7 linked regions of the Xenopus tropicalis genome follow. The protein of the gene in region 1 interacts with the protein of each later gene in a biochemical or structural test. Links are inferred from orthologs where the notes say so. Each region holds a gene or a part of one and is shown in the gene's direction. Other genes may lie near its edges. The genes, in order: eps15, sgip1, epn1, fcho1, tfap2a, ap1g1 and grb2.

Region 1 (3,500 bases):
TCTTTAGTGGATATAAAAAAGCACATTAAAAAGGATCTACATTTGCACTGCAGTGTCCTTACCTTTTATGCAGTAGTAGAGTTTCTCTAATGAATCAGCTGAACCTGAAGTGGAACTGAATTAATGTGAAATGTTTTTTTCTGTAGGAGGTCAGTTTTCAGGTTGATCCCTATGACGTGAATCCAGTTGCTCCCCCTTCTGCTCCTGTCCAAGATCCCGGATTGGATTTCTTTCAGAGTGATCCTTTTGTTGGCAGTAAGTCATAGAAAATGTCTGATTGAGAAGGTGTTCAGAATACCACAGGTTTACTTCTTATACAGAAAAATAAACAAGAGTTGAATGCCATAATGGCTCTTCACAAGACTACAGACTGACTGTAGGACATTTCTTGCCAAGAAATACTTTATTTGTAGGTGCCTGATGAATAGATACAGGCTTGAAAAAGTGGTCATTTTAAGAATTGCCTGCAACTTCCTTAAGGCTGACAAACCAGGAAGGGAATCCTCATACTTAAAGGAATGGTAACAAGTGTTTTAAAGTAATTAAAATGTAATGTGGTGTTGCCCTGAATTGGTGTGTTTGCTTCAGAAACACTGCTATAGTTTATATAAACAAGATGCTGCATAGCAGTGGAAGCAATTGAAGTACGGCTAAATGACAGAGGTTAAATAGCAGATAACGGATAAGCTCTGTAGAACATCATTATATTCTTTAGAGCTTATCTGCTATATATGCATTTTATCCCATGAATGGCTGCCCCCATGGCTTCAAAACAGCTTATTTGTATAAACTATCATAGTGTTTCTGAAGCAACACTACATTGCATTTTAATTGCTTTTTATTTGGAAAACAATTATGTATGCTATGTTAAAAAAAACATAGTTCTTAATGTCTGTCCCTTTTAAAGCAGGTTTGAAAAGCATGTGGACCTTACATATGGTTTTATTTGCATATGATTTCATTTATATTCCAGGCGATCCTTTTAAAGATGATCCATTTGGGAAAATAGGTAAATTTTCTTTTTAATTTTTTTTTTTTTTAATGTAAATGTCTGCTTTGGCATGTATGAACTGAAATCCTGTGTTATTGTGGTCTTATATATGGAGGCACATGCACTGTTTCCTTCACTAGTGTAAAAAGCTGATCCTCTGCCTTCCACTACATACATGTGTGTGCGACATGGGATCAGCCCATAATCAATGTGTACACAGAGAGCAGATTTTGATGCGTACTGTACTGAAATCTGCTCTGTGTGCACTGATGGGCTGAACCCTTGCCTAACAGCGCACACATTCAGTTAGCATAACTATTGATTGTTGTTCTTATATTTACAGAGATATATCAATCCACTAGTTATATATAGATAAACCCCATATGTTGTTTTACATGAGGGGTTGTTTACTGATTCCCGGGGTGCAAATGCTTAACAAGCACTCAAGCCTCAGGGAATGCTGCACTCTGGATTAAAAATCTAGAGCTGAGAGTGCACCAAGCAGAGTGTGTTAGGGTAAGGCACCATGGAGTGTTGGTTCTGCTGGTCTGAGCCTTGAGTTTTGTCTCAGCTTGAGAAAAGCGAAGGTGCTCCTGTTGGCCTAAAAACACCTGCTTAAGGGGCCTTATCCATAGGGGGCACAGGCAACAAGGCCCACTGCTGCTCCTTAACTTGCACGTCTGAATGTCGCACCAGTTGGGGGCTGGGTGAGGACACATACATGCCCATCCCCCCTTCAACAATACCATGCTGACTAATGCAGTCATGTAGTCAGTATTTATGGGGAAAGAAGCAGGTCTCTGCATTCCTACTTTGTACACTATGTTCTGTTTTGTTTTAAATTACTCCTATATTATTTTAAATCTGGGCACATAAACCTATTGTCCAAAAGCCTGTACGTTATGAAAGTCTCTGAATATGACACGGTGCATATGAAATAATTTTCTTGAGGGTCGTAGCACAAGTCACCTAAAATACCTTTTCACTAGCCAACATTTTGATGGTAACCCTGACTGTATCCCTTAAAAGCTTAAAAGGAAGTATAAACATTTAGTAGTGTTAGAATGTTTGTGAAGTCTAAGGAGATATCTCTGCCTAGACTAGCAATATATGGCAACACTTATCCATGTATATAAACTTTAATAAATAAAAAAAAAAAAAAAGCTTCTGTTTGAATTGCCACATGTAAAACAAGACTTTTTTTTAAAAAAAAATCTTTTTTTCTCTGTTCCTGACAGATCCATTTGGTGGGGATCCTTTTAAAGATTCCGATCCGTTCGCCTCTGATGTATTTTTCAAACAGGCTTCTGCAGATCCTTTTGCATCTTCTAAAGTGGATTCTTCTAAAGAAGATCTTTTCTCCAAGTCCAAAGCGGATTCTTTCACATCGTCGAATGCAGATCCATTTGTGTCCTCCAAAGCAGAGTCTTTAACATCTTCAAAAGCTGATCCTTTCCAGCCCTCCAGCGCTGATCCTTTCAAGTCCTCTGAACAAGATCCTTTCACATCTGCCAAAGTTGATCCTTTCTTAGCCACAGAAAGCACTTTTTCTTCTGTACGTATCTGTATACTGTGTGTCCCGCACATGTGATATAAAATGGAAGACCTGCTTATGGCCCTCTAGATGATGTTAAGCTTAGACTGTTGTTGAATAATTACTCAGAGCATTTTTGGAATATGAATCATAGCTGTTATTGTATAAATATTCAGTTGAATATTAGTGGGGCGGATTAGCTTTTATTACTTTATCATTGATAAAGTGGAAGCACTGTACCATATGTAAGGTTGTACTCTTTCTGCAGCAACATGTTTTCTTCTCAGTGTTAGTTTTAACACTCTAGCTACTTTAGAAATACCAGCTGATGTGAGCACATATTTTATTGCAAACAGATAATGCAAACTGGCATAATGATAACCCTAAAAGCATAAAAACTGAACTGTGCACTGAACTTTACTCAACCTCTCACTAATGGGAAGGCAAATTCAAATCCACATTAATCCATTTTTATCTAGGAGAAGCATCATGGAAACACTGGAATCTATGTAGCACGGCTGAGTCATATGCATTAGATTTGTTTATAGAGCCAAACCTTCCCACCCCAATGTGTCATGATTAAAACATACGCTTTTTTTATTTTTTTAAACAATAATGTTCTGTTTTTATTTACAATTAATAAGCATATTTTATCTTTTCTCAAGGAAGACACTTTAAAAAATAATGATCCATTTGCTCCAGGTGGAACTGTAGTCTCAGCTGTTAGTGAGTCAGGTGAGTCAGCCTTTCTTTTTCTTTACCTTTAGAGAATGCTGGGAATTGAATTATGGACACATGATGGACACAGTGCAGCATCTCTGCTATGTCTGCATGAGCAAATTGTATTTGTCTTTTGTCCTGCAAAATGTATATAATTTTATTTTCCTTTGTACTGTCCATAGCATTATTTACATCATATTTTTGGCATGAGTGAGATAGTTAAACTATCTGTCATGATTTTTATGGTGTACTCTT
Region 2 (4,233 bases), about 12 Mb from region 1:
CCAACACATGGAACCTACCGTGGCCTTCCTGCAGTGCATCAAAACTTATAGACGCAGCCATGGCAACAGCACAAAGGGACCTTTGAAAACGATGTAGTTTTTAGTGTAAGATACCTGGTAGAGGTAACATTACAAAACTGCAAAGTGTTAATCAGTTTTGATGTCTTATAGCAGCCAATCAGAAAGTAAAAATTACTGGTCAAAATCAATTGAAAAGCAATCATCTGATTGGTTGGTATGGTGTATTGGAGTTGGTGAAAACTTTGTGGCTTTTATTTTATTACACTGTTTTGTTAATAACCCTTAAACATACTACTGAACCAATGTTTCCTCTAATTTCTTTTTGGCTATGTGTGGAACAATCTTCTTTTGTGCGCACTTGTGCACGTGAACCATGTGCACTTATTTAAAAAAATACTGGTGTGCGCATTTCAGAATAAGTACAAAATTGTGAATTTATACAAAATTCTGAGTGCACCACAAATTATTGTATGCGCCGGTTTAAAATTTTGTGTGCACGCGCACAAGCACACAGCTTAGTATACCAAACTAACAACTAGACGCATCCAAACCCCATAGCATCATACCAATATTTGTTATTATGCCTAATGCAGGGCAATATACCTTTTACAGGGAGGCACAGGCCTGTTCACTTATATATGAATTCACATTCTTGTGTAAATTACAAATAATAATGTATTATATGGCACTTTAAAACTTATTAAAATGAGTACATTGACCTGTATAAAAGCATGGCCTTTATATATCTATGGGACTCCCCAGTGACTTCTAATATACAATAGAGAATACATTGTGCCTGATATCAGTGACACACATTTAGTAGGGATGTTTTACATAAAGTTTTAGCATACTTGTCTTGACTTTTTTTTAATGTTTTTTACATTGTTAGCCCCTTTTGCCTAGCTTACAAATTAACCAGCCAATATTTGACCAAAAAGTGTTATTTTATGCATTTATTTTCTGTTTTATATATTGTTTTTTACTTGGATCCACTGGGGCCTGGGATAAAATTTTCTAGTATGGATTTTCTACAGTTCATAAATATGTATTATCAAATGTTTTATTGAACACAAAATGACTTAGTGAGGTTTTGTGTAGACAACAGATACAAGCTGAACAGAACAGTGCTTTTAACAACTGTATTGTAATAAAGAGGATTGAACTTAATAGTATGATGGCAGGTCCTTCAAGACAAGGACCTTCCGTCTGTGTAAACACGTTTTTGAGGTAATAGTGTATTTTCTATTTATTACATGTTTTCCAGGCACGTTTATGTGAACAGAGCCGACTATACTAATAGTACTATATATTGTAGAATAAGAAAAATAATTTCTGGGATCTAATATGTTGATGTCCGAACTGCATCACGTGGGAGCGCGCAAGACGGCAGAAATCCAGTGGATGTGAAACGACATGTAACGCCAGGTTAGCGCAAGAGGATTAGGTGGAGGGGAAGTGCGTCACTGGCTGCCTGGGGGTAGGAGTGAGGGGGCAGGAGAGCACAAGATAACGGTGGCTCTTCGGGTGTATTGTGTCAGGAGATGAGAAGTGCGCTCCACGTGACTCGGCCGAGGGCTGCAGGGATTGGCTGGCCTCCTGGCAGGCTGCGTGAGCCTCCCCACCTCCTTTTTTCTTCCCTCTGTATCTCAGCATGGTAATGTCTAGAGCTCAGCATCCTTATGGGATCCGCTAGGTGAGAGCTGCAGCCTGGCCTGTACCTTTAGCTGCAGCGGGGGGAAACTCGCATCTCTCCTGCCATTGAGATATCTGCTTACCACTCTCCGAATAGGGGGTCAACAGTGTGTGGAACTGGACTCTAGCATTTGGTGCATTTTGTTCACAGCCTTCCGTGGAGATAGAGGAATGATATTCTGCCACCATGATGGAAGGTAGGATCATTTTCTGCTCTGCAGTTTTTTTTTCCGCCGGCACCTATCCTTGGAGTGAAATTCCTCACGATGCCCTTTGTAACCAAATTCCATTCCGCGTCCATATTGCGAACTTGTGTATAATGCAGGGGATGGCATTTAGTTTTCCCCGGTGTCACCGTGACAGAGTGCTGCCTAATTACACTGCCTCAGTGCTAGCAACCATGATTCGTGTGGGTCCCTCCATCAGTTAAACTACAGCTCTTATCCTCACCCTATAATACAGAAAACTGCACATATGTAGGTACCACAATATGTCTCAGTGTAAGAGGTCAGTGAAATCCGTCAGGCCTAGAGGGCACTGTATAATTTGCCAAACAGCCTCAACCCACCGAAAAATAAATAAGAAAATCCTTAGCCATTTATTGGGGGGGGGGGGGGGTGTTCCCTGTGATTGTTTTAAGAAAATAATTTTTTAAGGAAAGGTTTAATCATTTCACTGGCCAGATGCTCTCTCTTCCTTGATTGATTCTATGAATAAATGACTTTGAATGGCAGGAATTAAAGGGGCTGGGTGTGTTTTGTTAGTAACCTCCCCCATTCCTCTGTATTCAGTCAGTGGCTAGTCTCATACCGGAATTGGCTCAAGCATTTAATGGTATTTTCCTCAATTGATATATTTTGGGTTCATTATTTAAGTAAAAAGTTTCAAATGATAAAGCGTTTAACTTTACCCTGCTAAAACGCAACTAGATTTAACCTTTACCAAAATGTCTGTGCTGTAAAGGCATTTACAAATGTTTTCCATTACTTAATGTTGAGTTATACCTAGGTTTGTATATTATTTTTCTCACAGCATTGATCAGTAGGTTGACCCTAATTAATCTTGTTTATTAGGCGGTTAAAAAATGCCTTGGCAACAAACTGATGTTGTCCAGATGTCCTCAATCACTTGTTACCTTGATAAACATTGCACTTAGGCTATTCCCATAGCAGCGCAATATCACTTAGTAAAGCCTCTTGACGTAGAAATGGGAAATATCAACCTGTGCTACTTCAAGCACCTGTGAGATGAACAAGTTTAGCTTTAGATTCAGTATAGGAATCATACAGTTTAGTATGATTTATCCCTATGTATTTAAGAGGCTGTCATACTAGAAAGCTGTGAACCCCACTTATTTCAGAGGCTATCAAACTAAAGAGCTGTATGAATTCTTAATAAATACAATAAATCTTTCAAATCATTGACTTGCTTTTCAAATATGTTAAAAGGTAACACTTTAAGTGTAGAATAAACAATTTTATATATACTGACCATACTACATTACTTATTTGAGTGTGAACTCTTATTTAGGGCTCCAGCTGGATGCCTGTGGGCCAGATATAGCCCTCCAAGCATGCCTAAGGTCTCTGTAGGCATATTTATTCAAATAACTTTTTTTAATAATTGCATTGCTGATCAAACTGGACCAAATGGTTGTGTTTGACATTTTTTTTATAAACTTGACACTTGCTTAATGATCTTACAGTTTTCTGCAAGCTAAGTTTGGACATTTGAAAATATGTACAAAAAAAGTAAACTGAGCTGAATGAGGACACATTAATTCCATTATTTCCAATGCTGACAGCCTGTGTTGTAATTTGTGGTCCCAATGGCATGCTCAATAGAAAACCTATTTTTTTGCCTGCTTCATCAAAAGTTCATCAAATGTCATAGACGCAGTTTGGCAATAAAATTGAATTCAAATATGTTTTGTCAATATTGCTAAGAAGAGAACTGTGCTATATTCAGAGTCTCTCTTAGTTAATAACATTTTACAAGTGTTTTTCAACTGACATTATTACCTTGAAGACTTTATCCAGGTTGAAGTAACATATTTACTGCAGGCTATGCTTTTAATATCTAGCAAAGTTGCCTATTTTGGAATGGATCGATAGTTAGGCCTGGTACATTCCTTACCTGCACTGAAACGTTGTTTCCAACTAAAGGTGGCCATACACCAAGTACATCTAAATTGGAATGATTGAATCATTTAGCTCCTTGGACCAGTATGTGGGCCATATCTATTACCTGCCTAATGCAGCCCTGACAGATGGGATTGTCCAGCCTTGCAAGTAAACATCTGACTAAGCTCAGGCCATCATTTTTACCCTGTGCATGGCCTGTTAAGTTGCCAGTTTATGAACAGTCTTATGATTGTTATTGTTATGGCCAAAAACTGTATAGACATATGATTATACAACCCTGCAAATGTCAATTGCTTTATGACCACTCCTGTGAGAAATGTCCATTTCTTATTTGGTTTTTTTTTCGTTAATTTCTATTTTTGATTAATATACATGA
Region 3 (3,500 bases), on another chromosome or scaffold:
AGCAACTCTCCAGTTTGGAATTTCAGCAGCTATCTGGTTGCTAGGGTCCAATTTAACCTAGTAATTAGGAAGTGGCTTTAAAAAGGGAGACTGGAATATGACTAGAGGAGGACCTAAATAGAAAGATACGTACTACGATAAAATTGTAGCCTCCCAGAGCAATAGTTTTTTTGGCTGCCGGGGTCCGTGATCTCCATTTGAAATCTGCAAAAAGTCAGAATGGGACGGCAAATAATTCAAAAACTGTAAAAATAAAATTAAATGAATAGACGAAACAAAGGGAAAAACTTTACAGCACTCCTGTATGGCATCCAATTCCTAAATAGAGTGTCCATAGCATATAGCTACCAATAGTCCCAGGTTAAGTTAAATAGAACCAGAGTCCTCCCAGATAGTAAACTTCTCACAAATCCTGCGTGTCATTCCCTCTAATCTCCCGATCACAAACAATTTATTGTGCAGTCTGTACCTAAGGCACTCCCCTGCTCTCGGCTAAGTACTAACTCTCCTGGCAGAGGGTGCCTTATATAAAAATTCTCCGGATTCCTTTCCGTGCTGATTTTGATTTGGATCTCTCATGAAACGTCTCCTCCCACGGCGTCTGTCTTGCGCTGCAGCTCCAGAGGTCATGTGACACGGCTACGGGTCCTGTCCAACTACACATGGGACCAATTGAAAAATTGAGGACCAATTGAAAAGTTGTAAGAATTGGCCATTCTGTAACATACTAAACGTTAACCTGACGGTGACCCACCCCTTTAATGTACGGCGGTGTGTTCTTTTAGAAAAGATTTTATACACACAGATAAAAACCAGAATCCACAGTTTCTAACCTGTCTTTATAATGATGTTTCCTCTCCCATAACAATGCAGTCAGCAGCATCACCTGATCACTTGTTGATTTTTGTTATATTTACTAATAATGCTGAAATTATGCTTTCAAATCTGATTTCTTGATACTAAATATGGCTAAAGGTAAGTATAAAAAGTGCTCTCCCACTCCTCCTGTAATTCCATTTCTAGCAAACGTGCAGGTAAGCAAGCTTTGTTAGAGGCTTTGTCAGACATTTAATAATAAAGTTTCCCCCCCCAAACTCCTGGTGTTACACATCTATTCTGAGCCTCGGGGAATCTATATGTGCTCTGTAGGGTGCATGAAGGTTTTCTTTATAGCGATCATGTCAGTCAGTGACCCTTATGAGAACCATCCTATATTGTCTCTGTTACTATTCCTGAAACAGCTTTTAGATGTGACTCTCTAGTCCAAGCTGGATGCAGTAGATTGCAGCTTCATTATGAGTGTCTTTAGTTTTTCTGCCTTGCATGCGTCACAGATTGGTCATCTGTCATCTGAACCCCCCCCCCCCACTTACTAACACAAAGCAGTTGGCACTAAACTTCCAAAATGGCAAGCCAAACCTCACATAGACATGTATAAATAATACATACAAATAGATAAGTGCTGTACCCGCTGTACAGTATGTACCAAAAGCATGATTCTTTCAGTGTGTGTAAATTGCCTTGTGTTGATTTTGGGGTAACAATTTCCTTTGATTGCAAAAAATCCTCATTTTCATATTTACTTGCACCTAACATATATATATATATATATATATGTATTATTAACCATCTTCCTCTTATTGTCTCCATGAAAACTCACCATCATTTTCACTGTAGAACTGCACATTTCCCCTGACAGGGTCGGAGTATTCCCCAATTTTCAGTCCCCCTATCCTAAATCTGAGCAGCAATTCTAGCTTATGGAATACAAACGTGTTAAACTGTACATGCTTGAAAGTGTATGCTTCTTTGTACATTTATTTTCCCCAAACATACAAATAATTCCAGTACATATCCTGGGAGCCCTTCTCTTTAACAGCTGTTTAAGCTGTTGAAATTAAGAGCAGGGCCATACTTAAAGAACTAAACCATAAACATTTAATATGGCTATGCCATGTTTTGTATACCGAACTTAATGCACCAACCTAAAAGTTCAGCATGTCTGTAGCAGGAATGATTCAGTCCTTCAAAGTTGTCACAGGAGCTCCCCCATCTTGAATTCTGTTAGAAGTGTCAGTGACACATACATGCTCAGTGTGGTCTGGGCAGCTGTTAAGAAGCCAAGCTTAGGGGTTATTCAAATTATCAAGCAAAAAACTAATGCTAATTGCACTGTTTTTTTAAGCTGCCATGTACTTATAATCTAAATTATTTACTCATCAGCCTTATATTGTGACATTTCTATTCTATATATACAGTATATTGTGAGTGGGTCCCTAAGCTCAGTAAGTGACAGCAGCACAGAGCATGTGCAGTGAATCAGCAGAACAGATGATGGGGGGCTACTGGGGCATCTTTGGGGGCACAGATCTTTCCTGCTAAAGGGCTGTGGTTGCCTTGGGCTGGTACAGGAACCCAAAACGTGTACAATGTACAGTATTTCTGCCCTATATCTTTGGTTAAGCTTTACTTCTCCTTTAAAACCCTTTCTTTCCCTGGGTTATGTAGGAAAACTTATTTGCTATGATTGCTGCTTTAAGAAAACATTCTAGACCATGGCACGCGTCTCCTATTTTACCATTACATCCGCAAGTCGTACATTATTTGTAACGCTTTCACTTGAGTCAAGAGTAAATGAAATCTCCCCAGTGCGCTGCTGAGACGGATAACAAGACATTATTTATTCATTTCTGTTTATATCAGGAGGAGAGGATCAGACGAGGAGATGACCTCCGGCTTCAAATGGCTATAGAGGAGAGCAAAAAAGAGGCACCTTCCAAGCAGGAAGAGGTGATCTGTGACTTTTTATCTGTATAGTGAGGATGTGGTTGATGATGCCAATTCATAGCGTAATTAAATGGCAATGATCCCATGTAATTTCAGCCTCGGAGTGGCTGAACATCAGTTGTCTAGCATTTACAGTACCAAATTGTGGAATATTGCATCTATATTTATTTCCCACTGCATTATGCATTTATAAATTTAATTTAATGCGCTTTGGTTCCTTTTATATTCTGTGAAAAGCTTATTTTATATTTGTTACTCCAGCAGTCATCACTAATGGATTTAGCTGATGTCTTCAGCCCCCCTGCACCAGTTGCCGCTTCTGCAGGCCCATGGGGTGCCTCAGCTGCTCCCCCTGCAGATCCATGGGCAGGTGGAGTTGCCACGTCTACACTACCAGCAGCGTCTGACCCATGGGGAGGCCCTCCAGTGGCTACAGGTGCAAGCTCTGATCCATGGGGAACTGGTGCACAGATAAACTCCACTTCTGCTGACCCCTGGGGTGGAACACAAGCGGTTACCACTGCCGATGTCAAAGCTGTGTCTGATCCATGGAATCCAGGAGGTAGGTGGATTAAGGTTGTTACGTATGGATGTTGGCCACATATTGATGTATCTTTTTTGTGTCTGCCTACTAGGGAGACTCCTAAAAAAACAGATCCAATATAAATATCACAAGCGTGTATATAAATGTTCCTAAACCCCAATGTCCAAGA
Region 4 (3,500 bases), on another chromosome or scaffold:
TATTCTCAGGTATTAAAATCAGGCATCTCTGCAGCTCCTTTGTACCTCACATCAACTTGGAAGTGTGGTCCATCCTCGACAGACCTCTGCTTGGACTATAGACAGAACATTGCTTTTTTGTGTGATGTGCAGATTTTGTTGCCTCTGGATGAACCTTTTTCTAACTTGCAATCTGACCCTCCTGCTCGCTGGTGAGGAGAGAACTGCACTGAATGTTTTTACATATGTATATATTATCACGATTTCCTCACAGAGAGCAAAATAAAGCATACTGTGTTTGTAATTTATATGTGCTCAACATTTTTTGGCCCCAGCCCACAGGTTAATTCTTTGGATAATATAACAAAAACATTATAGTTTATAGTCACTGCATGGCCCAGCCTATTATGATGGTTAGGAAAATATCATCCTCTTTGATACTATGCAGTGATGGACCTGAAGGGACCTCTAAATCTAATAATCTATATAATTTTCTCATCATTGGTCTGTATTCTAAAATCTGGCCTTGCTGCAATGCAAACCAGTATCTGGCAGCTACTGTATAGTATTTACTTTCAGAGAATTCAGTGCATTCAGTAATAACTGCATACCACTAGACCAGGGGTGCCCACGCTTAAATTATGCAGTGGTCTATTTTTAGTGTTACCACCTGACGTTTTATATTACCTTAGCAAATGTCACTTCATTTCTTTTTGCCAACAGAAAATGTGTTCTTTTTTTAAATAACAATAACATTTTTTAAATAAACAATGAATAACTATTTTTCAATCCATTGCTCCTTACCTGATTTAAGGCATCTGTATGCAGACAGTGCGGGTTGTTGTGATCTATTGTACAAGATCTGCTGGTAGATCCCAATATGCTATTTGGGAACTCCTGTTCTATACGGTTATATGCTGTGCTGCCAGAGTGTTACATTGATGGATTTTAAATGTATAGATAAAATATTTATGTATGGATACATTGAAATAATGTCATATATAATATGCAGCAAACCTCTACAGAACAGCTTCTTAATTAAATTTCACTCTTTCATTAGTGCTGAACGGAGATTACACTGGCAGATCCCTCATGAGCCTGCAGGGAATGAACATGATGGTAACACTCTCTCACATACTCTCTTATGCATTGTACAGTATGCAACAATGTAAAATTCTTATTTAACCAGTATTGTAACTAGACCCCAAGTGCAAGCCAAGCACAGGCTACCTACAGTTCACTTAAACCAGTTTCTTCTCACCTATCTACCCATGTCCCTACTCTTCTGCATGTGAGTTTTGAATTATTTTTTCTGCTCATTGGGACTCCTTAGGTCATGGAGCCTAGATGTGATCACAGATGTTGTATGTCCCTGCAACAAAGGTGACCTATTGATCAGTTTGATGGTTTAAAGCAGGGATCCCCAACCTTTTCAACCCGTCAGCCACATTTAAATGGAAAAAGTGTTGTGGAGCAACACAAGAAAGAAAAAGGTTCCTGGGGGTGCCAATAAGCGCTGTAATTGGCTACTTAATAGTCCCTATGTGGACTGGCAGCTTACAGGAGGCTCTGTTCGGCATTATATTTGTTTTTTATGCAACTAAATCTTGCCTCCTTACCAGAAATTAAAAAATAGGCACCTGCTTTGAAGCCACGGGGAGCAACATCCAAGGGTTTGGTGAGCAACATGTTGCCCCCGAGCCACTGGTTGGGGATCACTGGTTTAAAGGGATACTGTCACGATTTTTATGGTAATATTGGTATGTAGGCGGCCATCTCAGTGCATTGTGCCTGAGTCTCAGCTTTCAGAAGGAACCACCGCTACACATTAGAACTGCTTTCAGGTAACCTATTGTTTCTCCTATTCCCATGTAACTGGAGATGCCATAAGTTGACCCTGGATTTCTTATGATTGAGTGCTATTATTGTTCTGCTGATCGACTGCTGGGAGGGGGGGTGATATCATTCCAACTTGCAGCTCAGGAGTAAAGTGTGACTGAATTTTATCAGAGCACAGGTCACATGGCTGTGGCACACTGGGAAATGAAGAATATGGCTAGCCCCATGTGAAACTTCAAAATTAAATATTAAAAACTGTGTTTTTGAAAAAACGATTTCAATGCAGGATTCTGCTGGAGAAGCTCTATTAACTGATGCGTTTTAAAAAAAAAAAAAATGTTTTCCTATGACAGTATTCCTTTAATTGAAATCAATCAATCAAAGCACATAAACTTTAAAGGAACAGTAACACCAAAAAATGAAAGTGTATAAAAGTAACTAAAATATAATGTGCTGCTGCCTTGTACTGGTAAAAGTTGTGTGTTTACTTCAGAGAGTCTACTATAATTTATATAAATAAGCTGCTATGTAGCCATGGAGGCAGCCATTCAAAGGAGAAAAGGCACAGGCACATGGCAGATAACAGATAAAACACTATTGTATTCTACAGAACTTATCTGTTATCTGCTATGTAACCTGTGCCTTTTTTCCAGCTTGAATGGCTGCCCCTGTGGCTACACAGCAGCTTATTATATAAATTATAGTAGTGTTACTGTTGCAAACACACCAGTTTTACCAGTACAGGGCAACAGTGCATTGTATTTTTATTACTTTAAAGCTCTTTCATTTTTTGGTGTTACTGTTCCTTTAAGTGGGTCTTTAGATAATTCTTTGCTTTCTCATAGATATCACTTCTGGTGTACATGTGGCATATGCAGATATTTGTCTGTGAGCTTTTCCAATCACATGGATGCAAGATGGCTTATGCCTACTTTTGTGTAACTGTAGCTGGCAAAACTAACATTTCAATATAAAATAGTTCTTATCTACATTGTTCTTCGTAATGTTTGGGACAAAGACGCATTTTTCTTTGACTTACCTCTCTGCCCCTTAGTGTAAAATTTTAAATCAAACAATTCAGATGCGATTAAAGTGCACTTCAGACTGTAATTTAAAAATACACAGAAAGGGGTTGTGGGAGCGACTGATCTGGCCAACTACAAGCATACAAAAAGAGAGGGGGATTGATCAATGCACATTCCCTGGTCCCCTGTTTCATAAGTAAATTATCTATGCTAGTGCATATATTGACAAAAAACAGGGGTTTTTAGTTACAAAATTATGATCATAAGATTGGTAAGCCACCATACACATCAAGGTAAACACTGTATGGTGGTCCTATCTATTTACCTCTGGTCATATTTTTCAAAGGCTGGAACTCCCGTGCACTGGGACCAGGGAATGTGCATTGATCAATCCCCCTCTCTTTTTGTAATTTAAAAATATTTGCATACATTTCAGTTTCACCATGTATAAATTACAACATTTTTTATACATAGCCCCCCTCATTTCAGGGCACCATAATGTTTGTGACACAGGTGTGTTGCATTGCTTCTGTTATGAAATTTAAGATACCGAAAGTCATTTGAGGTAATTAGGTAAGGTTTATTAGACACATACGTGGGTTCTGAGCAAAACATAGTCAGAACTACAGAAGAAAGCACAGGATTTATATAGACTTT
Region 5 (3,500 bases), on another chromosome or scaffold:
GAAAAATATTGTGTGTATATTTTCTATCCTGAGGTTGGTTTTTTATTTAAACGTGTAGTGCAGTCGCTGATTGCTTTCGATGTACTTCCTATAAATCCATGATGTTTTTGTTCAGCCTGAGCACATTGTTACAAAGGGTTCTTTGCAGCAAAATGCAAAGGGAACAGGCATTTCTAATAAAAGACAGACTTGTCTCTCAGATCATAACAAACCATTATGGTTTGTGCGGCTGAGGCTTTTTATTCTGTAGACATGCAAGAGGGCCGTGCACTTTTATCTAAGAACATGGCCACTGATTCCAACAGAAATGTGAGTCTGTGCTAACCATTGCCTTAATGTATTTATAGGCATCTTTCAGCACATTCGTGTGTTGTGGGCCTGTATAATAAACATACTTTTCTGCTGACAAAATGCTGGTCTTTAGACTGGTATCTGCAAGGAAAGCTTAAACAAGTTCCTGCCAGTACAGAAAGGAGTTTAAAGGTCTTGCTGCTAAGTTGAAGAGTATCGCTTTAATACAATTTGCTTTTGTCTTTTTTGTAGGATCGCCATGATGGCACCAGCAATGGGACTGCTCGGTTACCCCAACTGGGCACGGTGGGACAGTCTCCCTATGCCAGTGCCCCCCCACTCTCTCACACTCCCAATGCTGACTTCCAGCCCCCCTACTTCCCTCCGCCCTACCAGCCAATATACCCCCAGTCTCAAGATCCTTACTCCCACGTCAATGACCCCTATAGTCTTAATGCCCTCCATACCCAGCCACAACCACAGCACCCAGGCTGGCCGGGACAGAGACAGAGCCAAGAGACTAGTCTGTTACACACACATCGGGGGATACCGCACCAGCTCTCTGGCCTGGACCCACGGAGGGATTACAGAAGGCACGAAGATTTACTACATGGGCCTCATGGACTCAGCTCAGGACTGGGGGACCTGCCTTTACACTCCATACCTCACGGAATTGAAGACGTATCGGTAAGCATAATCCCTTCAATCCACTCCATCTAACACTAAAGCCAAGTGTATTTCTTTAACTGCCGGGTCTCCAGTCTGCCGCCCACCAGTTGTGATACACATTTAGGGGAGTTGTAGTTCAGTTAGAGCGATAAGGCCACAGATTGGGCATCTATGTGGGATGAAGCGACCATAGGGAAACCCCAGACCTAGTCATATTCGCATTATAGCGTATAAATTTAATTGCAGCTTTCCAAGAGCATGTATGTTGAATAAAGGGCATCTGCCAAAATAATTATACCAACTGAAAACCTAAGGCCACAGGCAGGATAGATGTGTTGTGTAATAAATAATATGTCCCTTATAATTAAGGAAATGTATGCAGGAACAGTCGAATGCGACCTGAATGCGTACTTGCATGTGGCTTTTCTGACTGACGAACCCCTGATTTATTAGATCTATTTTTATTCTGCCAATTCCCTCATTTTTTACAAAGAAGGACCAATGTGTTTATCTGATGAATCGTTAGTGAGTTACCAGCCTTTAGTAAAGTCACCTCCCCAACTAATATTAGATTAGGTATCATGGGAAGATTGAACAATAAATTATTTGGAGGTAATTCGGTTATCAATGGATGCAATTAAAATGTTTCACAATTAAACATGACAGTGATAGTTTGCTTCAGCAACACCCCCCCCCCCCAAATCCCCATATCCAACACCAGACATACTGAAAACAGATCAATAAAGCTACATTCCACAATTCCATTTTAACCTTGAAATATTCTGCATTATTCATTTAAACAGATCATTGGGGTTAATGAATCCATATATCAGTCTAAACATATTAATAGGTAATAAAATGAAATGTGTTTAGCTACATGGTGTTGCGATTTGACAGTTTTAACCATTAGAAATTCACACTTTAAGAATGAAAAAAAAAAATTTAAACAGGCCCTATACACACGTGATGTTATTTTAAGCCTTTAAAACCATTAATGTTGATTCATTAGAAATGATGTATCACTTTGTATAATTAATCGAATATTAACCCTAAATTTATTAAAGTGGGCACCCTGGCCTAAATGTATACATCATTTAAATAAGAATTAAATAAGAACAAAATACATTATGAAACATAAATGTATAAACATAGTTATTCACCATTAATGTATTTGCAAAACGGTAAATTGGCTAATGTTAATTTGTAGCGATTACCCAATTACATAGTATACACGAATGCCTATCTAGATAGACCCAATGCACTAGGCGTGTCAGTTTCACTAATTTTATTGCCAAAGGACAGTGCCAGTCTAGGCTTCATTTTTGTAGAATATAAAACGACTGTTCAGTGTAAACAGAAATATTGAGCATTTGAAACCACAAATGTCAGAACATAGAAAAGGATCCCGGTAGATACATGGCAGAACAGAGTTCACATTGAAGATGTTTAAATCTGTATCAAAGCGAGTAGGGATGGGGGTGTAACAGTCTGGGCTATCTAGGAAACTAGTTAATGATAAAATAGCACCATGGGGTACTTAAATGTGGATCTGATGATGTGTTGAAGTGAACGTTTCTAGAAACCACCGAAATCAAAGTTTTATATACCACAGTACATTTACTTTATGGGCTTAGTTCGCAAGCATAAAGGGATCATATTTCCCCATATACTTAAAACACAAGAACTGTAGAAGTCAATGCTGAACATTTCTCAATTTAATTATACTTAAATGCAGGAGCACTTTAGGCAAGTTACAAATGAGAGCATGGAGTATAATAAAATCTGTAATAGACTAACTTAGTACCATCCACCCGGAATCATTGAGATCAGGCACAATTAACAGGAGCATAAATCCAGGAAGGGATAAAAAAAATGCTACAATCTGTATTATTGTTGGACAAAGCCTTTTCGAAGCACTGTGCCTTTAAATCACACTGCCAGAGAGCTGTAATATCCCCAAAGTGAATCAGGACCAATTTTTTTTTGCTGTAAACAAAGGGATGCATGTTATTTTACCCTGCCAAGCTGCAGCATCCTATTTTTATTTAACCACGTCATTTCAGACTTAATCTTAGGAAACCATCATCTAAATATTCAATGTGTTGTGGTGAACTAAAACAAATTTCCCTTTCTATTTCGGTTTAATGTTGCTTGCCACTGTCACTGGCAGAAGTGTTTGGGGACCTACAATAAGTAATGATTTACCCCTCTCATCACACAATTATACTTGCATATATTTTATGGCTCCCCTTTCATTCATGTCGCACTTACCCTTAATCTCTTATCGTTTATAAACAGTATTTGAGACGCAGCGAGTATTATAATCTTATTATTTATACTGTTCAAGTAACCAATCGAAAAATGTAGGAAAATATCAATACATGTATAAAGGGAGCTTAATATAATTTTTCGTTGGGGATACTGTATCCAGTTTTGCATTAAATCTAGAACGGCAAGATCTTTGTCTCTACTGACAGCAGTAAGCGAATCTACTCTAATGAAAGTGTAATAATATATATTTTTTTCTTTTTTCTTGCAGC
Region 6 (4,145 bases), about 37 Mb from region 1:
CTACAGTTTGCTAAAGATCATGTGGACAAACTAGAAAAATACTGGAAGAATGTTTTGGTGATGGATGAAGATAAAAAAGAAATTGTTGGCATTTTACATTTGGAGAAAAAAACACTGCATTCCAGCATTAGAAGCTTATTCCATCAGTGAAACATGATGGTGGGGGTGTTCTGGTTTGAACCTGTTTTACTGTATCTGGGCCTGGACAGCTTGCCATCATTGATGGAACACTGAATTCTGAACTATTGCAGAGAGTGTTAAAGGAAAATGTCAAGACATCTGTCTGTGAACTGATCTCAGAAGACAGTGGGTCATGCAGCAAGACAATGATCCTAAATAGTCGTTCTACCAAAGAATGGTTAAAGGAGAATAAAGTAAATATTCTGGAAAAGCAATGCCAAAGTCCTGACTTTAATCCAATTGTTATGTGAGGGAACCCACCAACATCCAAGAGCTGAAGCTGTTCTGTATGGAGGAAGGGGCTAAAATTCCATGGCTAAAAGTCAACAGGACTCATCAACAGTTACCGCAAACATTTAGTTGCAGTTATTGCTGCACCAGAGGGTCACACCAAACACTGAGAGCATGATTCGCTTGCTTTTGCCACTCGCAGATATGTTATTAGATCATTTTTTTCAATAAATACATGACCAAATATAATACTTTTTGCTTCATTTCTACTTTCAGTTCTACTTTTAGGACTTGATTGAAAAGGTGATGATGTTTTAGGTCACATTTATATAAAAATATAGAACATTTTAAAGGATTCACAAACTTTCAAGCATACTGCAGGGACTAAATTGCACCAGGGAAGTTATCTACAGCATTAAAATATGTATTTTCTTTCATATCTGTATTGGTAGTAGACTAGTAGGCTATTGAAAAACCAAAGTTTATTCATTTTAGTGCAGATATTATTAAATAAGCCCTACTAGTTGAAATGCAAAATGTTGGACCTCTAATGTTGTAAAAAAAAAAATAATTACATCCTTTCTATGTTTTTAGCTTTATTTGCAATCAAGTTTACTGGCCAGGTCTCCAACCCTTGGGAAGGACTTCCAATATATATTAGGAACGGAAATACGATAATACTGCCGCCAGGGTTCCCCGTCTGCCCACATATGCAACTAGCAGAGCGACTGGCTGGCTCCAGTTCCATGTGAGAATTAGGCAGCGCTACAGGAACGGCTTTGGCTAATGCTCCCTAACTAGAAAGGTCAGTATAACAGGCTGTGGCACAATCACAGGAAGTGAAGCTCAATGACAAGCTCAGAACTCTGGTTGACATAATCCCCGCCCATAGTTACCTGGGTCAGGTGGCACGTGACAATAGGGGCACCGCCCTCTCTTCCTTCCGGGTCTGGTAGTGACGGGGCACAGAGTTGACGTCATCACTGGCTGCCCTGTCAACTTGCCAGTGTCCCTCCGCGTAGAGCAAAGAGTTCCGGCCCTGGGTGGCTTCTTGAGTTCCGAAGCCGATCGGTATACAGGCTGTCGTTTGGAACACGTTTGGCGTTTTTATAAAGATCCGGAGTGTTGACCGCTGGTCTTGAAGCCGGTGACTCTACGGGATCCTTCCGCACAGCCGCGGTGCTGCGGCCCAGCAGCCGCCATTTTGGTTTGTCCCGGAGCCGTGGAGAGAGCAGCAGTACCGGGCGGTGAGAGGAAAGACCCTTGGCTAATGACAGTGATTAAGGTGGAGGCTAGTGACAGGTTGGAGGGGACTGACAGCAATAGTGTGACTAGAATCTCTCTGAGGGCATCAGTGACACTTAATTTGTGAATAGTGGGGCGTGAGGAAGAAAGTGGAAGATCACTGACCAGAGGCTGTATGCAATGGTGAAGGGACACTGACAGAACGAAAGCCTGATAACGCGTGTGTTGTCTGTGTCAGTAAATATTAATGTAGCTTCAGTGATCTGGTGGAAGGGTGTCCGTGAAAGACTTTGGCATTAGACTTGTTGCACAAGTGACTATATGTATGGCAGGGGCATTTAGGGATTTTCTGAGGTGCATCTGGATAGCCTTCTTGTGAGATAGGGTTGTGACAGCTAAAAGTCTGTGTGGGTTAATTCATATGTGTTGTGATTTCTGTCCACTATAAGGGACACTTGAGGTTTCATTTGCTGTCACTCTGTCTGCTTATATATAAGTTCTTATGTAGTCTGTGTGTATTGCGTCTGTTGGTATACATGGAATAACTGGAAATGTATTGGCCCCACAGCCCTTGGGGAAGGTGACATTTTTCATAGGCTTACATTGATATTGTACACCAGCTGGGGCAATGTTAGCTTTGTGTGTGAATTTTGAGGCCAGTGCACACAACAAATTGTGGATTACACAGTTAAAATGTGCGCCCAAAAGAATTATTTTAAGCACATAGCCAAGAACGAATTAGAGGGAACATTCATTGGCGGCCATTACACTCATGTTCCACCCAATAATTGAAGGGTCTGTTTACCATATCTTTATGCCCATGTATGTCAAGTTTTTCTGTACACCTCATTCTTTATGCCTATATCTTAGTACTCCCCTCATCTTTTATATACGTGTGTGTGTGTGTGTGTGCAATGTCAGGAGCCTGTAATCCACTATGGAAAAGTATAAAAGCATACAGGATCTATATAGTGTTGACACATAATACAGGTATGAGATCCATTATCAGGAAACCCAAACAGCTCCAGATTATATGAAGGCCATCAACCCTATTTTAATGAAACCATTCATTTTTAAAAAGGATTTCATTTTTCTCTGTAATAATAAAACAGTACCATATACAGATACCAAGACATAATAATCCTTATTGAAGGTAAAAAAAAAAAGTTTTTTCTACTAAAAAAAAATTATTTTTTAGTAGACAAAGTATAATGATCCAAATTACAGAAAGATTCCTTATCCAGAAAACCCCCAGGTCCCAAGCATTCTGGATAATGGGCCCCATACCTGTATTACACACCGTATCTCATTCATTTATTATAGGCTTTAAATATGACAGTATGCATGCTGTACATGTGCTTTGTTATTTCCAAGTAACATATTTTGCCGGACTACCTAACCTTTAGAGGAACACGGTACCTAAGTAATTACTGTGTAAGATAATTTTGTAACTTTCATAGATAATTACATTTTGAATACAGTAGCAACACGTAGGTTAGTTGAAATACATGTTGTGTATTACATTATGATGTCTTGTAGAATGTTGGTTAACAAAGAGGACAAAATTACATTCCCTTTCTAGTAACATGATTTTCTCCTAGGAAACCGCTGATACAAATTAAAATATCTTCAAAGTGTCAACACTTTTTTTTTTTAATTTAAATAATCACTTTGCTGACTCAATAAAATTGGTTTCCTAGTAAAAGCAGCTGATTTATACTGCCTGCTAGTTATAGGTGCATGTATTTTTTGTACAGTTGCCTGCTGCTTCCAGAAATGTGCATTAGAGACCTCCATAGTGCATGCTTCACAGTTTTATTTACATATACATTTTAGAAGTCATTTTCATTGTTTATGCGCAAGCGCCTTTTGTTGTTCTCCTTTTTAGTTTTGTTCTCCTTTTGCCCTTACTGAGCAAGTGCAAGTTAGTCCTGGCATGTACATTCAACTATAATTTAGAGCACTGCTACTGACCTGCACATTCCAAATAAAGTGGAATATTTGCTTTTTAAAAACTGAATAACAATACCCCAGAACATTGCAGATCTCTATTATAAAAAAAAAAATTTAAGTTTTCCTGTAAATAAAGCTTTTTTTAATACATTTATTTTTTTCCGTGTATCATCCCAGGATACAGTATTGTAAGTTTAAGTACCAGAGTTCCTCCTTTTGGACCATATGAGGCACTGAGTTTGCTCACAAACCAAATACATTCTAGGCTGCATTAGCTAATAAATGAGGGCTCAAATTAAATTATAGAAATATCTATTGATAAATAGCAGGTTTATGACAGTAGCATAAAGGTCCAGTAAGAGAGGACTATTTTGCTGGTTACATTTCCTGAGCAGTAAGGTTGATATGGAGGCTGCATGACATATGCGAAGAGCCCAGACTTGGTTATAAGAGAAAAATAAAATCTTGGTTTTACGCACCACAAACAAGTTTTATTTGTAGATCGAACATATATGTATAGCATTGACAAAGCTGTG
Region 7 (4,270 bases), on another chromosome or scaffold:
TGTAATGCCACACCAGTTCAGGCACAGTAAAGGATAAGATAGGGTGCATTGGGTCTGTGCAGGAGTGCTAGTAACGCCCCTTAGTGCTCTACCATGTTATTTTGAAGCAATGGAAGGTGCACTGCAAGATGATACATTCCTATTGTGAAGGGGGGGGGGGGGGGGAAGATGAACTGAGTGATAATGACATGGTGACACCCAAGTGGCAGGAGGGTTAGTAGCTCCCGTTAGTGCTGTATCTCAACCTGTGGGTCGGGACCCCTTCGGGGGTCAAACAACCCTTTTACAGGGGTCGCATAAGACCATTGAAAAACACATATTTCTGATGTTCTTAGGAATAATTTTATGGTTGGGGGGTCACCACAACATGAGGAACTGTATTAAAGGGTCGCTGTATTTTTTTTTTCCAGTAAGACAACTATCAGTTGCTCCTCAATGTAGTATGTGTTATTTTACATCTACACCCCCTGCTGTGAGGGGGTCTTAACTGACCAATGGCGCAAATGCCCTCACCATAGGCGTTGGAACTGGGGGAGAGAATTACCCTCACCCCCCCTGGTTTTGGAAGTTGTGGCTAAACAGAGGCAGAGGGGTGGGCGGCACAAGTGGGGCCTCTCCTGGCCCCCAACCAAAAACATCTTCTGCTGCCCCTGCCATACCCATAAACTAGGGTTGCCACCTCTGCCAGCTGAGAAAGTGGGTGGGGGGAGAGGCGGGGTCATGACAATTGCCCGATCACTGAATCAATGCAGGAGGGTTTGACTTTCCCAAAACCAGGTTGTCTGGATCAAAACCGGACAGGTGGCAACCCTACCTTAAACTGGCCCTGGAATGTGGGAAGATATAGATGGGTTTCACACAGGACACCATTAAACACACAGGGAGAAGTCACCATGATAGGGTTCTGTGTAGGCTTGCCACCTTTTCTGGAGAAAAATACCATAATTCCTGTGTACAGCCAAGGGGAGAGTTACAGGTTTATTAGTGATGTGTACAGCCAAGGGGAGAGTTACAGGTTTATTAGTGATGTGTACAGCCAAGGGGAGAGTTACAGGTTTATTAGTGATGTGTACAGCCAAGGGGAGAGTTACAGGTTTATTAGTGATGTGTACAGCCAAGGGGAGAGTTACAGGTTTATTAGTGATGTGTACAGCCAAGGGGAGAGTTACAGGTTTATTAGTGATGTGTACAGCCAAGAGGAGAGTTGTGAATATTTGGTGACCATTTGGACACATGACTATAGATAACCAAATAACCGCAGTCATTGTCCCAAGCTCAAGCCGTATTGACAAAACATGGGCTGCCCCGCCCCTCAAGTGCGTTGCGTTTCACGTCTCATATGACGTCATGCGCCGTTCGCAGGGACTCACGCAGCCCCGGAAGTATCGCGGGAGGATCTGCCCCGGGGCGGAGCGGAAGCGGCCAGGGAGAGAGACAGGAGAAGCGGCTCCGCGGAATTCGGTGAGGGTTCTGAAAAGCTCTATCGAGAGGTGGGGAGATGAGTGTCAGCCGTGTCGTAGAAGTCGATGTAGCGGTGGGTGGGTGTCCGGCTGTTGTTGAGTTGAAAGTCCCATGGGCTGCCAGGGAGGAGGGGGGATAGTGGGAGCTGTAGTACAACAGCAGCAGCAGCAGGAGTGGCGCCCGTTGAAGGGGTGCGCAGAGCGATAGCGATGTTGTTGGGAAGGAGAGTGGGTGAGGGAGTTGGGGAGGCTGATGAGGGGCTGCCGGGTGTGGGGTCGGGAGCAGCCAGTTGCTGTGGGTATGGGTCGGGAGCAGCCAGTGGCTGTGGGTAGGGGTCGGGAGCAGCCAGTGGCTGTGGGTAGGGGTCGGGAGCAGCCAGTGGCTGTGGGTAGGGGTCGGGAGCAGCCAGTGGCTGTGGGTAGGGGTCGGGAGCAGCCAGTTGCTGTGGGTAGGGGTCGGGAGCAGCCAGTGGCTGTGGGTAGGGGTCGGGAGCAGCCAGTGGCTGTGGGTAGGGGTCGGGAGCAGCCAGTGGCTGTGGGTAGGGGTCGGGAGCAGCCAGTGGCTGTGGGTAGGGGTCGGGAGCAGCCAGTGGCTGTGGGTAAGGGAACTGCTGGGGGGAGAGAGGCAGAAAGGGGAAGTGGGGGGAATTGGGGAGACTGAGGGAAGTGCTGAGATGGGCTGAATGCAAGGGGAACTGATGGGGGGGAGATCTATATCAGGATTCCTCAGAAGGGAAGTGGGTAGGGAAATCACACAGCTTGGGGCCCTCCTACTTGTACATTCATTTATAGGGCCACAAGCCTTAGGAGGGGACCTGTGTAATGGGAGAAATGATAGTTTGCCGGGACTGACATCTCACTCTCTGGTGCTGCGGGCTACACTGGTTTCTGTGCAGCCATGATATATGCAGTCACAGTCATTAGCATGTGGATAGGGCCAGGTGGGGTCAGATGGGCCCACACAGTATGATTGGCTTTTAGCATCCCTACCAGACTCCTCATTGGCTTAATTAACCTTTGCTGAGTGATAGCTGACTGTGAGCATTGTGTCTTGGGAACAGTGTGTGACAGCTGTGACAAAGGAAAAGAGACTGCTGATGGGATACCATAGTGGGGGTAACACAGCGAGAGAGAGCAGATGTGCTGGGGGGGTGAAACCAGGGGCAGAACAGGGACAGTTGAGTAGCTGAATAGACTGGAAATTGAGATTAATGAGGGTGAAGCAAGGGGAGAAGTGAACTGTCAGAGGAGGATGATGATGGGTAAAATAGGGCAAATATTATACTGGCTTCCAGACAAGGGGCAGGGGGGGACACAGACTTGGCAACTAAGGGCAAGGTGGGAAAGGAAGAATAGAGTCTGTTCTGGGGGGACAAATTGCCCTCATTTAGATGTTATAATTCACCCCCAGTAGAAGTGAATGGGAATTGCCACTGGGTGTAAGACCTATACTCTGAGTAGGATATACAGACCTGCTGGGCTATAGGAGCAGAAGGGGGATTGGAGGATATATACCAAACCTGGGGGGGGGGGGGGATATAGACTGTATGTGAGGGCTGAGGGGACGCCTGCTGTTGCAAGTGGGAGAAAGAAAATCTGGGCTAGAGGCGCAGCTGCATGTATATTTATAGTGTATGTATATATTTATCTTGTGTTAATTACTTACTGTAGGAAATCAAATCTGGGGCAGTGTGGTGAGATTGGGGTATAATTCACATGCTGGTTTCTAGGGATGCACCGAATCTGGCGAACCCCCAAATCCTATATAAAGCATTTGACCGATTCCTAATTAGCATTGCACACAACGCGTGGCAAAAAATGTTTAACTTCCGTGTTTGCATGACAAAAAGTCTGGTGATTTTTCGGATTCCGTTCAGCCAGGACTGTGGATTCGGCTGAATCTTGGCCAAATACTGGATTCGGCGCATCCCTGCTGGTTTCTGACAGATGCCTGCAACATGCGGCATTTATTATTTATATTTATTATCTGTTTACTGGCTTAATTATGTACCCGGAACATCTTTTTCCCTCTGCTTTATTTAGCAGGATGGGGGCTGCCATTGAACTTAGTTCGTGCGAGCCTTTTCCCCCCATAGGTTTCGGTGGCAACATCGCCACCTGGTGGCCATTATTTGTTTCCTTCTTCATACTAGTTCTTCCTTGATGAATTTGTACTTTGTTCACTTCGTTATATTGTAACACAGCTATAGTCTTGGTTATTTGCATTTCCTCTTATGAGTATGTGGTTAACCCATTGTTATCTTTTATGCTGTCTTGCACTCCCATACACGCCACAATCAGGGTTATAAATTTCTTGGAATAACACTATTCACCTGTTATGGACTCTAGAGGTGCAGGCTTGATTGCATTTGGAATATATAGGCCTGATCACTGCATGCTCAGCGATCAAATACATGGCTCGGAACCTATCATATTGGGTTGGAATCTGCTGATAAAGGGTAGCTAATCGGCTTTGGGCCCCATAACATCTAGTTGTGCTGTTGAAACGGGCCCTTTAAAACACTTTATTTGTGGATTAGATGTATGTGAGAATATATTGAATGTGCAGTGTGGCTTATTTATATAAAGCACTTAACCCCACACGGTCAGGCAGCAGCATCCAGCTAAAGTGCTTGTGTAAACCAGGCAATTACGCAGTTACTTTCCCTTTCATGTGGATGTACATGTTTTGTTTTGGCTACCCGGGCCTGTGCTGAGGGGTGGGGATTGGTAGCTACTCGCAGCCTGGAGAGCAAGCAAAGCTGATTGCTTCACTACCTGGCCATGGCTTGTTATGTATCTGATTATGA

What was found.
Region 2: the proteins of eps15 (region 1) and sgip1 form a complex in vitro, tested with the Homo sapiens proteins (2 studies listed by BioGRID, with this or other methods). The link is inferred for Xenopus tropicalis from reciprocal best matches to the Homo sapiens genes EPS15 and SGIP1.
Region 3: the proteins of eps15 (region 1) and epn1 form a complex in vitro, tested with the Homo sapiens proteins (4 studies listed by BioGRID and IntAct, with this or other methods). The link is inferred for Xenopus tropicalis from reciprocal best matches to the Homo sapiens genes EPS15 and EPN1.
Region 4: the proteins of eps15 (region 1) and fcho1 form a complex in vitro, tested with the Homo sapiens proteins (2 studies listed by BioGRID). The link is inferred for Xenopus tropicalis from reciprocal best matches to the Homo sapiens genes EPS15 and FCHO1.
Region 5: the proteins of eps15 (region 1) and tfap2a form a complex in vitro, tested with the Homo sapiens proteins (2 studies listed by BioGRID). The link is inferred for Xenopus tropicalis from reciprocal best matches to the Homo sapiens genes EPS15 and TFAP2A.
Region 6: the proteins of eps15 (region 1) and ap1g1 form a complex in vitro, tested with the Homo sapiens proteins (2 studies listed by BioGRID). The link is inferred for Xenopus tropicalis from reciprocal best matches to the Homo sapiens genes EPS15 and AP1G1.
Region 7: the proteins of eps15 (region 1) and grb2 form a complex in vitro, tested with the Homo sapiens proteins (2 studies listed by BioGRID, with this or other methods). The link is inferred for Xenopus tropicalis from reciprocal best matches to the Homo sapiens genes EPS15 and GRB2.

What each region holds. Positions count from the first base shown.
Region 1 is NC_030680.2:96,281,152-96,284,651, reverse strand, and holds part of eps15 (epidermal growth factor receptor substrate 15), read left to right. Parts: intron 1-146; coding exon 147-255; intron 256-973; coding exon 974-1,009; intron 1,010-2,229; coding exon 2,230-2,546; intron 2,547-3,190; coding exon 3,191-3,260; intron 3,261-3,500. UniProt on the Homo sapiens protein: Involved in cell growth regulation. May be involved in the regulation of mitogenic signals and control of cell proliferation. Involved in the internalization of ligand-inducible receptors of the receptor tyrosine kinase (RTK) type, in particular EGFR.
Region 2 is NC_030680.2:83,925,345-83,929,577, reverse strand, and holds the start of sgip1 (SH3-containing GRB2-like protein 3-interacting protein 1), read left to right. Parts: upstream 1-1,433; 5' UTR 1,434-1,900; coding exon 1,901-1,910; intron 1,911-4,233.
Region 3 is NC_030683.2:104,131,802-104,135,301, forward strand, and holds part of epn1 (epsin-1), read left to right. Parts: intron 1-2,703; coding exon 2,704-2,790; intron 2,791-3,048; coding exon of another isoform or gene 3,049-3,051; coding exon 3,052-3,349; intron 3,350-3,500. UniProt on the Homo sapiens protein: Binds to membranes enriched in phosphatidylinositol 4,5-bisphosphate (PtdIns(4,5)P2). Modifies membrane curvature and facilitates the formation of clathrin-coated invaginations. Regulates receptor-mediated endocytosis.
Region 4 is NC_030677.2:111,226,859-111,230,358, forward strand, and holds part of fcho1 (F-BAR domain only protein 1), read left to right. Parts: intron 1-9; coding exon 10-191; intron 192-1,039; coding exon 1,040-1,098; intron 1,099-3,500. UniProt on the Homo sapiens protein: Functions in an early step of clathrin-mediated endocytosis. Has both a membrane binding/bending activity and the ability to recruit proteins essential to the formation of functional clathrin-coated pits.
Region 5 is NC_030682.2:90,356,221-90,359,720, reverse strand, and holds part of tfap2a (transcription factor AP-2-alpha), read left to right. Parts: intron 1-14; exon of another isoform or gene 15-216; coding exon of another isoform or gene 217-309; intron 310-543; coding exon 544-978; intron 979-3,499; coding exon 3,500-3,500.
Region 6 is NC_030680.2:59,329,871-59,334,015, forward strand, and holds the start of ap1g1 (AP-1 complex subunit gamma-1), read left to right. Parts: upstream 1-1,345; 5' UTR 1,346-1,681; coding exon 1,682-1,696; intron 1,697-4,145. UniProt on the Homo sapiens protein: Subunit of clathrin-associated adaptor protein complex 1 that plays a role in protein sorting in the late-Golgi/trans-Golgi network (TGN) and/or endosomes.
Region 7 is NC_030686.2:44,468,157-44,472,426, reverse strand, and holds the start of grb2 (growth factor receptor-bound protein 2), read left to right. Parts: upstream 1-1,470; 5' UTR 1,471-1,490; intron 1,491-1,515; exon of another isoform or gene 1,516-1,538; intron 1,539-4,270. UniProt on the Homo sapiens protein: Non-enzymatic adapter protein that plays a pivotal role in precisely regulated signaling cascades from cell surface receptors to cellular responses, including signaling transduction and gene expression.